Caenorhabditis elegans: one gene and its partners. The protein of the gene in region 1 interacts with the protein of each later gene in a pairwise test. Each region holds a gene or a part of one and is shown in the gene's direction. Other genes may lie near its edges.

Region 1 (4,534 bases):
TCCAAAATCTGTTGATTTTAGTAAAAATCGTGAAAAAAAACGGGGGGTCCTATAGAAGTTTCACACTGGATTTTGACGTTTTTTCCAGCGCGACCTCAGTTTTTGAGATAAACTTCTGGAAAAAAATTTATATAGGTTTTTTTCAATTTAAAAACGAACGGCATTAGCAGTTTTTCGAAAAAATTTTCGGAAGTTCCTCAAACCTTCAAATTAGGGGGGGTCCTATAGAACTTTCCCACACTGTATGATTATAAAAACAAAAAAAAATGAAGTTATAACCCCAATTTTAAACTGTAGTGTTTTGAAAATTTTTGGCAATTGGAATCTTCGGAAACTGCTGGTTTCAAAAAATATGGGAAATTTTTCAATTTTTTGTGAAGCTGCCAAAAACTTCAATTGCCGAAAAATTTCGACTGAGGTATTGCATTTTTTATTGGAAATTTTGAAATTTCAGTTGTAACTGCAAAATTACACGTATCTTACATGAAAAATGAGAAAAAATATATTAGAATTCTTGCTGAAAACGAGAAAAAATGTCAAAAATATGTGTCATCCGTTTTTTCTTATAAAAATTCCTTCAGAAATTTTGCACAATTTGCAAAAGCGGAAATCGGAAAGTTTTCTATACATGTCTTGAAAAAAACTCCACCGCCACTATTTCCTAAAATTTGTTAAAAATATAAAAATGGCTGTTAATTGCAAATCGATAGACTTACTGATAACAAAACTTCATCTCACTTTCTTCATTTCTCTTCCCCACAATTTTTTTAAAAACTCTCCAAAAAATGTGCGAAATTATTAAACTAGACGTTGGTGGAACTATATTCAAAACTTCAAAAGATACATTAACGAAACTCGATAGCTTTTTTAAAACTATGTTTGAAAGTGATATTGCGGTATAATGTTGCTGACTATATTTCTCCAAAAACCTGAACATTTTCAGCCGAAACTCGAAAAATCCGGATGCATTTTTATTGATCGTTCCCCGAAACACTTCGAGTTAATTCTGAACTTAATGAGAGATGGGAATCTGTGGTTGCCCGAAACTGAGAAGGAATTGAGAGAGTTGTGTGCGGAAGCAAATTACTATCAGATGTTTGGACTGTACAATAAGTGCGGTGTGAAACTTAGCACTATAATAAACTTCCGAATGATTCAAAATCAAAAACCAATAACTAAAAATAATAGTTATACTCGTTTTTTTGTTTTTTCATTAATTTTTTTGGTATTTGTGTATTACATCCCTGCACTAAAAAGCTATTTTATTGTTGAAAAATCTAGTAAATGCTACCTATTTTAGTGGCTATTAAACGCAATTTTCATTGTATTATGCTATCATAGAAATGTGAACAGACCCGAACGTAAACCTATTATAGTATGGAAAAAAATCAATTGAAAACACTGATAACTTCAAATCGATCGACTCACTGATAACAAACCTTCATTTCACTTTCCTCTTTTTCTCCTCTACAATTTTTTTCAAAAACTCTCCAAAAATGAGTGAAATTATTAAACTAGACGTTGGCGGAACTATATTCAAAACTTCAAAAGATACATTAACAAAGTTCCATAGCTTTTTCAAAACTATGTTGGAATGCAAAACTGGGGTATGAAAATCGTTGTTTTTTTCCAAAAAAAAACGTGAAAATTTCCAGCCGAAAATTGAAAAAACCGGATGCATTTTCATAGATCGGTCCCCGAAACACTTTGAATTGATTCTGAATTTAATGAGAGATGGTGATCTGCCACTGCCAGAAGATGAAAGAGAGCTGAGAGAATTGATGGCAGAAGCTCAATTCTACTGGTTGGATGGTCTAGTCTTAATGTGCTGTGATAAACTTAATTCTACAAAAAAGGTCCAAATTGATCAAAGAGCAAACACTAAAAAATATGATTTATCATGGTTTTTTGTTTTTTCAATAATTTTTTTGGTTTTAGTGTTTGTGTATTACATGCCTGCACTAAAAGGCTATTTTATTGTTGAAAAAAGAAATAAATGTTATCTTTTTTAGTTGTTGGAAATTTTAATTTTTGTTAAAAAAAATCATTTTGAAATATGTACTGATCGATAATCTTATAACTGATAACAAAATTTTACTCCATCTTTCTCTTTTTCTCCCCTAGAAAACTCTTCGAAAATGAGTGAAACTGTGAAATTGGACGTTGGTGGAACTATATTCAAAACTTCAAGATCTACATTAACAAAGTTCAATGGATTTTTCAAAACTATGTTGGAGAGTGACATTGGGGTCCGATTTTTCCAAAAATTTCCCGATAAATTTTCAAATTTTCAGCTAAAAATTGACGAATCTGGGAGTATTTTTATTGATCGGTCTCCGAAAAATTTCGACTTGATACTGAACTTTATGCGAGACGGCGACGTGGTTCTACCCAATTGTGAATTGAAACTGAAGGAGCTGCTAGTAGAAGCTCAATTCTATTTGCTCGACGGACTCATTGAGTTGTGCAATTCAAAGATTGAGCTTGTTGAAGCTCCAAAGATAAAACTTCGATTTATTGAAAGCGATGAACAATTTCTTCAAATTCTTGCTGTTCAACAGAAGGTGAGTTTCGATAAAATAATGTAGTTTTTCAAATTCATAGGAATATCTCAGTCGGTAGTGGTAGCTGCTAGAAAGCTAGAGGTTGCGGTTTCAAGTTTAGACTCATCCCCTAGGTTCACCCAGTCTGTATTGGAGAGTGGAGCAATCCATGACTGTATTATCGGCCACAGTCCCTGGCTAGGACGTGGCTTAAACTATAGGCCAGTGCAAGCTGTAGTCCTAATAGTAAGGCCACACTGTATGGCGTTTGTCAATCATAAAATAATTAACCAGTTTCTTCAAAAAATTTCAGCTCTACATATAATTTTTACAGCCAATGCTCATAATTGAATTTTGCATGGTTGGGAATGATATGTCGATTCCCTATAACTTTAATCTTTACGAGTTCATGGAAAAGTATTCACATCAGTTCGATATTTATTTTCGTAAGTTTTTTGTACATTATCCTCATAAAATAGTCAATTCAGAGCGATTGAGTGAAGACGAACCTTCTCGCAAATGGAAAGCAAGGATAAAATGGAAACCTACTGAGAATGGATATTACAGTCAATTTCCACACAATCTTCGAATTAATCGAGGTGGACGGATAATACGGGATGCAACATTTTTGGAACGATTGGAAAAAATGATCGGGGAGTTTGATGAGTATTTGAAGAAGCAGAGGAATAGATAATTAACTTATTTTATGGATTTTTCGACAATATTTCTAATTTAGAAGCTTAAAAAATTATAATTTAGTAAGCTTGTTTTTTTATCTTTAAACACAAAACACATGGATAAGTTCAAAGTCTGATTGATAACAAACATTCTTATTTTTATTTTTTGAGTTTGGTTGCATCTGTGCCTCAAACCGTAACTATTTTAAAATATGAACAAGGTTGTTAAACTAGACATCGGCGGAACTATTTTTAAAACTTCAAGACCGACATTAATAAAATGTGATGGATTATTCAAAACTATGTTTGAATGTGAAAGGGTCTGATTACCGTAATCGATTAAGAGCGATTGAGTGAAGACGAACCTTCTCGAAAATGGAAAGCTAGGATAAAGTGGAAATCTACCGAGAATGGATATTATAGTCAATTTCCGCACAATCTTCGAATTAATCGAGGCGGACGGATAATTCGGGATGCAACTTTTTTGGAAAAATTAGAAAAAATGATTGGGGAGTTTGGTCAATATTTGTATTTGGAGAAGCAGAGAAAGAGATAATTAACTCATTTTGTGGATTTTTTGACAATATTTTCAATTCAGAAGTTTTTTTTTATTTCTTAACATTTTTGATTTTTTTGTAAAAAAAAAAACAAAATTTCGCAACACTGATAATTCAAAATCGATCGGCTCACTGATAACACAATTTCACTCCGTTTTTCTCTCTTTTTCCTCTCAAAAACTTTTCAAAAATGAGTGAAACTGTTAAACTAGACGTTGGCGGAACTATTTTCAAAACTTCAAAAGATACATTAATGAAACTCGATAGCATTTTTAAAACTATGCTGGAATCTGGAACAGGGGTTTCATGATATTGATTTCTTACCTGATTTGAAAACTTGAAAATTTTCAGCTGGAACTTGACGAATCCGGATGCATTTTTATCGATCGCTCCCCGAAACATTTTAACAGGATTTTAAATTTCATGAGAGATGGTGACCTGTCACTTCCCGAAAATTGGAAGAATTGCTGGCAGAGGCTCAATATTATTTGCTGAATGGACTCATTGAATTGGGTAATATTAAAAAGCTACCAATTATTGAAAGCGCACGAACTTGTTCTGTATCTTCTCCCCCACCTCCATGGATATCCAAACCTTCTTGGATTTCACGGAAGTGATTGTTTAACTGAAATAAATTGAGTTTTCATTTTATTGGGAGTATTGTAACTGGAAGTGAGTTTATAGAGAGTTTTAAAAATAATACAGTACAAACAAACTTAAACTTCCAATTTTGCAATTCTGAGGAAAAAAACAACAA
Region 2 (4,668 bases), about 10 Mb from region 1:
CTGTCCTCACCGTCGATGACTTCGAAATCCCACAATCTGCTGCCATAAATCGCTACCTTGCTAGAAAATTCGGGTTCGCTGGAAAAACTCCAGAGGAAGAAGCTTGGGTAGACGCCGTCGTCGATCAATTCAAAGATTTCTTTGCGGAATTCAGAAAACTAGTCATTGCAAAACGAGTCGGAAAATCTGCTGAAGAACTGGAAAAGTTAACGGCTGAAGTTATAAAACCTGCTATGGATGTGTACTTCAAAGTTCTCAATGGCCTACTGGAAAAGAGCAAGTCAGGATATCTGATCGGAGATTCAATCACCTTCGCGGATCTTTATATCGCTGACAACATTCAAACACTGAAAAAATATGGGCTCCTAGAAGCTTCTGGAGAGCAACCAAAACTAGCAGCTCATCTCGAAAAAGTGTATTCCCACCCCAATCTGAAGAGCTATATCGCAAGTCGTCCAGTAACGGAGATCTAATTTTTAATCTTACTAACATGTTTTCCATATTCAAAAACAAAATAAAGAAGTTTCCTTTGACAACCAGAAACTTCATTAATGTTGACTGCCGCCGAAATGTCCTTGTCAATACTCTCTCACGTGGGGGGGGGGGGGGGGGGTAAACAAGAAAATGTGATGTTTGGTGAACAGAAAGGGTAGGGGAGAATAACAAAATAAAAACGAAGGAGGTTTTCTAAAGAATGATTGTTCTGGATTTTTTTTTGTTGGTTTTTTACAATTCATTTTTATTTTTATACTTATGCCAAGTTGAATTAAAGATGGAGCAGAGTTTCTGAAGTTTGCATATATTAATTACCTATTTTCAACAAATTTAGACGGCATTTTATTTTTGCCCAATTTTTTTCAGCCATCTAAGGACTGTCCTTTTTTTGGGCAAAAAAAATTTCTCTGAAACCGTTCGAAACTACTGGAAATTGAAAAAGGGCAATTTTTTAGTGTTTGCAGATCAATTTTGAGTCCTCTATCTATAAAATTGACCATTTTAGAGGAGTTTCAAAATTGTGATTTTTTGCCATAAATTGCCCATTTTTGCCACGTTATAGTTTTTGATGGGTTAAACATAGATTTTCTGAATTCAGCATACACGAATTACCCGTTTTCAACAAATTTAGCCAAAAATTTTTTTGCCCAATTTTTTTAAAGCCATCTAATGACTGTCCTTTTTTTTGGGCAAAAAAAAAGATTTTTCTTAAAACGTTTGGAACCACTGGAAATTGAAAAAGGGCAATTTTTTAGTGTTTGTAGATCAATTTTGAGTTCTCTAACTAAATTCAAAATGAACCATTTTAGAGGAGTTTTAAAATTTGTGATTTTTTACAATAAATTGCCCAAACAATATGTTTTTAAAAAAATTTTTAATGATTTTTTTTTTCAATTTTTCAAAAATCAAAGAAATGCCCAAATTATATTTGAATTCTCGCGCAAATGAGTGACGTCATTTTTGGCTAAATTTATGCGTTTTTTTTTAAAATTTTCTTCTATATTTGATTTAAAACACAAATTCGGCAATTGTTTTTCAAATTGAAAACTTTTTTCCGTAACATGGAAGAAATTGGTCTAAAAAACGGAAATTTAATATTTCTTTATATTTTTTTTGTTTTAGAAAATTGAATGTTTGAAAAATTGACAAACGGCGATTTAAATCAAATGTAGAAGACATATCAAGAAACCCCTCCAAAATTAGCCAGAAAAAGCGAAAATGCATAGAATGACGTCACTCATTCGCGCGGGAATTCAAATTTAATTCGGACGTTTTTTTTTTCAAATGGAAAAAAATTATTAAAAATTTAGAAAATTTTTAAAATTTTTTGACAGTTATATTTGGTTATTACGACCTATTTTCTGTGACTTAAACCCAAAAAAAATTTGAAAAAGCTCTTCTTCTCTTTTCAAAGTGGGGTTTTTTTCGAAACGTGTCCTGCAAAAAAATGTAAATTTCCAAAAAATCGTTTTTATTTCTCTTATTTTTCTTTTATTTTGAAATTTTAAATTTTGTGCTCTTTTTTATCACAATGCTCAAAGACCACCGATTTCCAATTCCCATATTATATTTTTGCTTAGAGACGTAAGCCTCAAATAAATAGACTTAGACTGTTAGAGACCTCGCTTTTTCCACTCAATTTTGTCGATTTTCGAATCCACCTTTTTCAATCTTCCAGAAATAAAATGCCACAATACAAGCTAACATATTTTGATCTACGTGGATGGGCTGAGCCGGCTCGACAGCTTTTCCATCTCTCGCATACTCCATACGATGATATTCGGATTCCAATGGCCGATACTGAAGGGAAATGGGAGAAAATGAGAGACAGTAAGTTCTTAAAGTGAAATGTGTTGCTTGTAGTTTGTAGTTTGTAGTTTGTAGTTACTGATGCCACACTTAATTTGAAAAAGTTTGAACTAAAAAACATTAAATTTCTTGGCTTTCGGGGAAAAATCTTTTTGTAGTTTGTAGTTTGTAGTTCGTAGTTTGTAGTCTGTAGTTTGTAGTTTTTAATTTGTAGTTTGTAGTTTGTAGGTGCTAGTTTGTAGTTTGTAAAAGGTTTTTTGGTACGAAAGTATTTTGAAAAATTAATTTTTGTCAAAAAAATAGTTTGTTACTTGTAGTCCGTAATTCGTATTATGTAGAATATAGGTTGTAGTTTGTAGTCTGCAGATTGTAGTTTGTAGTTTGTATATTGTAGTTTGTAGTTTGTAGCTTGTAGAAAGGATTAGATATTTCTGTTTTTTTTTCGTATAAATAGAAAGTCACTACATCCAGCTTTAGGGTTTCATAAGATCTTCAGGCGTACGCGCCTACTTTTTGCCTGCCTGCCTACGTGCTCTCCATTGTGACTTCTTGTTTAGCGCAGATTTCAAATATTTGTGTTAAGTATAAAATGTTCGATTACAAACTGAGAGTATGAACACACGATGGCAGACGTAGGCATGTAGGCAAGCGTGCCTACAAAGAAGACCTGCCATAATTAATTCAACTTCCAGAAACCCCATTTGGTCAGCTCCCAGTACTCAACGTTGATGGCTTCGACATCCCCCAATCTGCTGCAATTTGTCGATACCTTGCCAAGAAATTTGGTTATGCCGGAAAAACTCCAGAAGAAGAAGCGTGGGCGGACGCCGTTGTCGACCAATTCAAAGACTTCTCCGTTGCTTTTAAAACACTCCTTTTTGCCACAAGGGCCGGGAAACCAGAAGAAGAAATCCTCAAAATCCGCTACGAGATTTTCAATCCAGCTCGAGATGTCTACTTTATTCTTCTCAATCGAATTCTCAAAAAGAGCAAGTCAGGTTATTTAGTTGGTGATGGGCTCACATGGGCTGATCTAGTTATAGCTGATAATTTGCACAGTCTGGAGAAGCTTCGAGCCATCGATGATGATGATGAAGGACATCAGAATTTGAAAAAGTATAAGGAGAAAATCTATGGAACCCCAGATTTGGAGGATCATATTGCGACGAGAATGGATACAGAAGTCTAAATTTTGAATCGCGTTGAATTTTTAAAAACTGTGATAAAAGATAATAAACATATTGTAGTATTTTATGCGGATATTTTTTTACCGAAATACTTTTTTTTGAAATAATAGTGCGAGAAGTGCAACAGGGCTCCATATGATTTTTCAGTACTTTTGAATTTTTGAAAAAAACAGCTTTTGATGTATTTTCTGAACTTTTTAAAATAATCTTCCGTACAAGTTAGCAAATTTTATTTAATATTTTTTGGTATATTTTATCATGCTAAACAGTTTTATAAAAGAAAAATGAAGCACTTCATATGATTTTTCAGTACTTTTGAATTTTTGAAAAAAAAACAGCTTTTGATGCATTTTCTGAATTTTTCAAAAATTTTTCCAATTTTCTGACTTTTTGTTTTGTGACCAGTGTTTCTTCGCAAAAACACAAACCACTCTTCTATTTCTCTATTTCTCTCACTCTCCCTCCCCTCAATTTCGGAGATTTTCGAAACGACTTTGTGTATATAAAGTACTACTCAATCATCTCCCATCAACAAACAATGCCACAATACAAGCTCTACTATTTCAACCTTCGTGGATGGGCTGAGCCGGCTCGGCAGCTCTTCAAGCTGGCTCACGTCGAGTTTGAGGATGTTCGTATTGAGAATGGAACTCCAGAGTGGGGAGCGTTGAAGCCAAGTGAGTTTTTGAAACATTTTTAGTGGTATTTGTATAACTGTCACGGATTTTGAGAATTTTTTAAAAATCAGATACGGTGGTCCACTCTAAGCCTAAGCCTATGCCTCGGCCTATGACTATACCTAAGCCTAAGCGAAAGCCTAAACCTAAGCCTAAGTCTGAATCCCAACCCAGGAATCTTCCAGAAACCCCATTTGGTCAGCTCCCATTCCTCTCAGTCGATGGCTTCGAAATCCCCCAATCCGCTGCAATTCTCCGCTACCTTGCCAAAAAATTCGGCTACGCTGGAAAAACATCAGAGGAAGAAGCGTGGGTGGATGCAATCGTAGATCAATTCAAAGACTTCGTCACCCCACTACGCCAACTCATCATGGCTCAAAGATCCGGAAATGCGGAGGAAATCGAGCGAATCCAAAAGGAGGTCTTCGCGCCGGCCCGGGATACATTCTTCAAAATTCTTAATGGAATTCTTGAGAAGAGCAAGTCAGGATTCCTAGTCG
Region 3 (5,790 bases), on another chromosome or scaffold:
TCATCTCTAATATTTTTCAGAAAAATGTGACAGAAGCTCAAAACGTCCAATAGTATTCATGCAACACGGCCTCCTTGCGGACGGATTCTCTTGGATTCCGAATCTAGCAAATCAATCGGCTGGTTTTGTTTTCGCCGATGCAGGTTTTGATATTTGGATTGCAAATAGCCGTGGAACTCCTGCATCACAAAAACATATTGGCTATGGACCGGAAAATCAGAAATTTTGGAATTTCACGTGGCAACAAATGTCGGAATTTGATTTGACAGCGAGTGTGGATTTGGTATTGAAGGAGACAAAACAAGAGTTTTTATATTATTTGGGACACTCACAAGGAACTATGATTATGTTCTCAAGACTTGCAGAAAATCCAGAATTTGCAAAGAAGGTATTTCAATTTATTGCTAGACACAGAGAATTTTAAAACAAATCTAATTCGTTTCTAATTATAATTAGTCAGACAGTTTTTCGGCACCCGTGCGATGAAGGATGTATTTGACATGTTTTTGTATGACTACTCGTATTATGGGGTATTGTAGTTACAAACAGTACATTTTGTTGTGACTACTTATGTAGTTGCCGTAATCCAACATTTGTTTCTCAAGCTCATGCTTTGCACAAAATTGAAAATCACGATCAGTATATATTTATAGTTTCTGTATGCTAACAAACATTTTCTTTGTAGAAAGTTACATACGATCAGTTAATATGCTTTTAGTCTTTCTTTACCTCCTCAAAAGCAACAATAATTTAAGATTCGTCATTTCCATGCATTGGCTCCAGTTGCAACAGTATCCCATATCGGTGGTCTATTTGGATTGTTTGGGACAAAGTTTCTAACTTATGCAGAAATCTTGCTCGGTCGACTTCCATACTCTCCACTGTCAATTCCGCGAACTGTTCAAAAAATGATAAGTTACATGTGCAGCAGATTCTTTATGCAAAATATTTGTACATTGGACATCGGTTTCATTGATGGAAATGAGAAAATGTTCAATCAATCAAGAGTTGGTGTATATCTTTGTCATACACCTGCAGCCACTTCTGTAAAAGATTTGCAACACTGGATTCAACTTGTCAAATCACAGACTGTTTCTAAGTTTGATTATGGAACTGATGGAAATATCATTGAATACGGGCAACCTACTCCTCCGGAATATGATTTGACACAGATCAACACACCAACTTATCTCTATTGGAGTCGTGACGACATTTTGGCTGATACTCAAGATATTCGGTTAATCAATTATATTAGTTTTGATGTAACTAAATGAATGATTTGTAGAGACTCGATTCTGTCAAAAATGAATAAAACAATCGCTGGATCACTGGAACTTCCACACTACAGTCATATGGATTTTGTATTCGGTACGCATGCTGCATTTGATTTATATCCGGTAAGTCTGAAATCAAATTTCCTACTGAATAATATCTTTTCATTAACGTTAGACCGCGCATCTGTAATATTTACACTTTGTCAAATTTTGGTAAAACCTTTTGATTTGGTTTTGATCAGGCCTTGGTAAAGACTTCATGTGTGCGTTCTGGAAGGTTAAAAAAAATGAAAGTTGGTGGGTCAGACTTAGGTCACCTCATATTTGAAATCTGTAACACGTTCCGAGCAAAGTTTGACCAATTTCTGGCCAAGGTGTATTCAAAATGTGGTCACTCTTTCTAGACATTGAACAGAAAACATTTGAAAAGGAACGGCTTCTGCAGAAATTCTCTCTAACATAAATTAATAGAGTTCCAAAATATTTCAATTCCTTATTTTCCCACTTTTTCGTTTTTGAGCAATGGTCCAAATTTTCCAAAATGCCGGGTTTGGTTGTTCTTAATGTTATATTCTTATTTTTGAAATTACATAATAAGGAGTTATTTAAAAACAAATTTATTCCAGAAAATCATCGAAACTATCCAAGATGACTACAACAAATATCGAATCACTCGGATGCACAAATTGAAGAAACATTTATGATTTTTCATCGATTTTTTTTCAAAAATAAATAAAACCGTGTTTTATTGTTGTTTTAATGGCCAAAATGTACCTATAGGCTACAATGTTCTTCTTATCAATTGATCGCTAACGTGGGACACATCTGGCATATATCAATGCAATTTCTTTAGATCTTTTAATTCGTTACAATTGGTTTTATTTTGAAATTTAGATTTTTGAAATTCAGAAAAATGGATAAAGTGCCACAAGCAGTGAGGGACTATTTGATGGAGGCTCATCAATTGGCGGCTCAGGTAACTTTGAAAACTAAAATAATAAAGTTTTTTGAATGAGAAATTAGTTATTTTCCGCTTTTCCGTATCCGTGGGCACTCTGTAGATTTGTGAATTGTTTGTTTTTGGTATTTTTCAGTGAGGGAAGACCACTTTTCGGCAGAATTTTGAATTGAGCAATGGTAGAAATCACTAAAACGATATCGTTTATAGTATATAGAGAACAGAAAATAGCTGAAGTTACAGATTTCGATTTCATTGATAATATAAAATATTAGTTCATCCGGCAAACATCGGAATAATATTTTTTTAAAGTATTTTTCAAATATCGAAGAGCACGACTATATGATTCAATGGCAAAATTCTAAGTTGTGGTGAAAAATAATAATAAACAAGAAAATCCCTTGATTAGTCAGTTGCCAAAATTTTTGAAGAACTTGCTCGAGAAAAACGCGCATTTTTACACTTTGCAAAGTTTTTCAGCATTCAGCTTTAACAATATCTGAAAATCACAATTTTTTTACATCAGAATATGAAAATTGATCATTTCAGTGGTCTCTTCCAAATGATCGCGGTGACTACATAAATTCGAAATCAATTCCAATCAAATCAGTGGCTGTAATTGGAGGTGGAACCATGGGAAGAGGAATTGCAATCGCATTTTGTTTATCAGGATTTGAGACGTATCTTGTCGAAGTTAACAATAAGGTAGCCATAAAGTTTAAAAATAATATCAATTCAGTTAAACTTGTTTGCAGGCTGCCGAATTCTGTAAAAATGAATTGGAAATCACTTACAAAAGGGAAAAAGCATTTCGAAGACTGAACGATTCAAAAGTTGAAAAATTGAGAAAAAATCTACAGATAACTACAGATTTTCAAAAGCTAAATAATTGTGATTTGGTGAGTTTTTGTTTTTATTTTCAAAAGAAAAAAAAAGAAAAATTTCAGATTGTAGAAGCCGTTTTTGAAGATATGAAACTGAAAAAGGAACTTTTCACTAAACTTGATAAAATTTGCAAACCATCATGTATTTTTGGAACCAACACATCAAGTTTAGATTTGAATGAGGTACGCTTTAAGTTAACTATTCCAAAAGAACATGTTCACTTTCAGATGTCATCAGTACTTAGAGATCCAACAAAAGTAGTTGGAATTCATTTTTTCAATCCGGCAAATTTGATTCGAATGGTTGAAGTGATCTACGGATCGAAAACTTCCTCCAAAGCAGTTGCTACAGCTTTTGAAGCATGTAGATCTATCAAAAAGCTACCAGTTCTTGTGGGAAACTGTCCAGCATTTGTATTTAACCGGCTACTTGGAGTTTATCTGAATCAGAGTCAAAAGTTGATGTATGAATACGGATATCTTCCTCATCAAATTGATAAAATCATTACAAACTTTGGATTCCTAATGGGTCCTTTAACAGTAGCTGATATGAATGGATTAGATGTAATGGAAAAGTTGAAAAAGGAGAATGGATGGCCAGCAAGTGATTTTGAAAAGGAAGTTTGGAGACAAAAGAGATACGGTAGAAAAACAAGTACGTCTTTAAATAAATTGTGAAATGAACTGAGAAACGGATAATTTCAATTTCTTTGGAGTATCACCAGCGGCAAATAGTTATACATAGGTTAAAAAACAAATACCTTCGCTCCGGCTATAAGAAAAGTTTGAAATATTTGACAAGCTGAAGTCTGAAATTTTTAAAATATTTTTTCAGTGGTAATGATAAGTGCCAATCAAAATTTTGAACGTTCCAGAAGGAAAACCGGAAATTATTGTTTTCAATTTATTTTTTCAAAATGAAGATTTTCAAAACTGTCACGAAAAGCCCAATATTTTTTACCAATTTAGGTGTAATTTTCAGATAAGGGATACTACAAATATGATCCAAATACTCACAAAAAGGAGAATGATATAGAAATGGAGCAGCTCATTCGAAAATTTTCTTCAGCTGCAAGTCCAAATATACAAATTTTGAACGATCAGGTACTCACTTTCTAATTTCATTCAAATTCAACCGAAAACTTACCAGGATGCCGTCAATTTCCTCTTGTATCCCATGGTCAACGAAGGTCTTTTGTGCATTGAGGAAGGAATCATCCATCATGAAAGTTTGATCGATATCATGTTGTAAGTAAAACTTAATTTCAAAAAAAAATTAAAATTATGAGCACAATTGTTTCAGCATTCTCGGGTTTGGATGGCCTGTTGCTACTGGTGGTCCGATGAGATTTGGATGGCTTCAAGGAATTGAAAAAGTTGCGAGCACAATTATTCTCTGGAATTCTTTAGAACCAAATGATAGAACATACAAAGTTGCGGCCACGTTGCAAAATGTGGACAGGAAGAATTTTGCAGCGAAATTATAAATTTTGTAGTTCGTTACCATGTTCAAAGAGATGATTATTGTAAAAACATAAATAAATACCCTGTATACAATTGATCTACTATGTACAAGAAATGACATGCTGGGGATTATAAATTTTGTCGAAAGTTTGATGCAAATCAATCTGCAAGACCAATTGCCCATCTCTAATTCTGAAAATTAAAATGTCTTCTGTATTTTTTTGGATAAACCCCGTGAGGTGCACAAATAATAATTATAAAAATAAAAGTACGGTACATTTAGCGAAAAACGGATCTTGAGACATTCAATTGTACACTTATCATTATTATCAGTAACATGGATTTTGTGGGCGTTTTTCGTATTTCAACCGGACAAGCACTGTCATATGAAATCAACCCTTACTCTTAGACATTTGAGCTTGAAAATTGATAAGAAAGTGGAAGTAAATGTTGCCTTACAGAATCACAAAAATCAACATAAAGACTGCCTTGCTGAAATGACGTTTTGTATTAAAAAATATTACTGATTGTGTTGGGATTAAAAATTTGATATCAAAACGAAAAATACTTGGTAAATAGGTAGAACACACATTTTTTCAAGAAAAAAGTGTTTCCTCTGGTGCTCGATATGACCGACAATAAACTTCAAATTTTTAGCTGTACTCTGTAGGGCACAATAATTATATTTAAAAATTTCAGTTCAAGCCAACTTCTGTACAAAATCCACCTTTAAAAAATTTCAGACAACACTTTGTTGAGCCCTACCAGAGATACGCGTCCATCTGCATTATTTTTCAAAAAAGTTGGCGATAGTTTTTTGTTCGGATATCGTAATAATCTCACGATATGCTGCGCTATGAAAATTGGATGTTTTTCAAAGTATCAAAACAAGTTATAGCCTAACATCTTAATTTAGTAAACAACTCCAAATAAATCACATATGTATGTACATATACAGATAAGAAACAATAAACTATACACAGAAATATTCACAAGGCACATGTTTGCACTTGATTTTTGAATTATCTAGATCTAGACGGAATTTCGTGTTTTACTCTTAAACAAAGACGACAGTGTACTGAAAGCACCAAAGTCTCATCAGCTCTTATCATCAATGAATCAACAAACAGACAGTGACAACATCGACTAGATCATTTTCTGTCCGGGAACTTCACGGACGAAATGTCGGGACAAAATCCTCTTTGTTATC

What was found.
Region 2: the proteins of ZC239.15 (region 1) and gst-15 interact in a two-hybrid assay, tested with the Caenorhabditis elegans proteins (one large-scale study listed by BioGRID).
Region 3: the proteins of ZC239.15 (region 1) and ech-8 interact in a two-hybrid assay, tested with the Caenorhabditis elegans proteins (one large-scale study listed by BioGRID).

The regions. Positions count from the first base shown.
Region 1 is NC_003280.10:3,222,248-3,226,781, reverse strand, and holds ZC239.15 (BTB domain-containing protein), read left to right. Parts: upstream 1-2,050; 5' UTR 2,051-2,138; coding exon 2,139-2,249; intron 2,250-2,294; coding exon 2,295-2,564; intron 2,565-2,877; coding exon 2,878-2,989; intron 2,990-3,031; coding exon 3,032-3,237; 3' UTR 3,238-3,449; downstream 3,450-4,534. Other genes in the region: ZC239.17 (Potassium channel tetramerization-type BTB domain-containing protein), read left to right, coding at 902-1,300; ZC239.16 (BTB domain-containing protein), read left to right, coding at 1,497-1,607, 1,656-2,012; ZC239.13 (BTB domain-containing protein), read left to right, coding at 3,968-4,078, 4,129-4,272.
Region 2 is NC_003280.10:13,610,656-13,615,323, reverse strand, and holds gst-15 (glutathione transferase), read left to right. Parts: upstream 1-2,127; 5' UTR 2,128-2,180; coding exon 2,181-2,325; intron 2,326-2,996; coding exon 2,997-3,493; 3' UTR 3,494-3,554; downstream 3,555-4,668. Other genes in the region: gst-14 (glutathione transferase), read left to right, coding at 1-473; gst-24 (glutathione transferase), read left to right, coding at 4,030-4,168, 4,354-4,668.
Region 3 is NC_003282.8:10,235,512-10,241,301, reverse strand, and holds ech-8 (Enoyl-CoA Hydratase), read left to right. Parts: upstream 1-2,125; 5' UTR 2,126-2,187; coding exon 2,188-2,250; intron 2,251-2,781; coding exon 2,782-2,937; intron 2,938-2,987; coding exon 2,988-3,131; intron 3,132-3,179; coding exon 3,180-3,299; intron 3,300-3,344; coding exon 3,345-3,771; intron 3,772-4,098; coding exon 4,099-4,220; intron 4,221-4,266; coding exon 4,267-4,364; intron 4,365-4,419; coding exon 4,420-4,603; 3' UTR 4,604-4,676; downstream 4,677-5,790. Other genes in the region: lipl-7 (Lipase), read left to right, coding at 21-388, 756-1,237, 1,286-1,397, 1,901-1,978.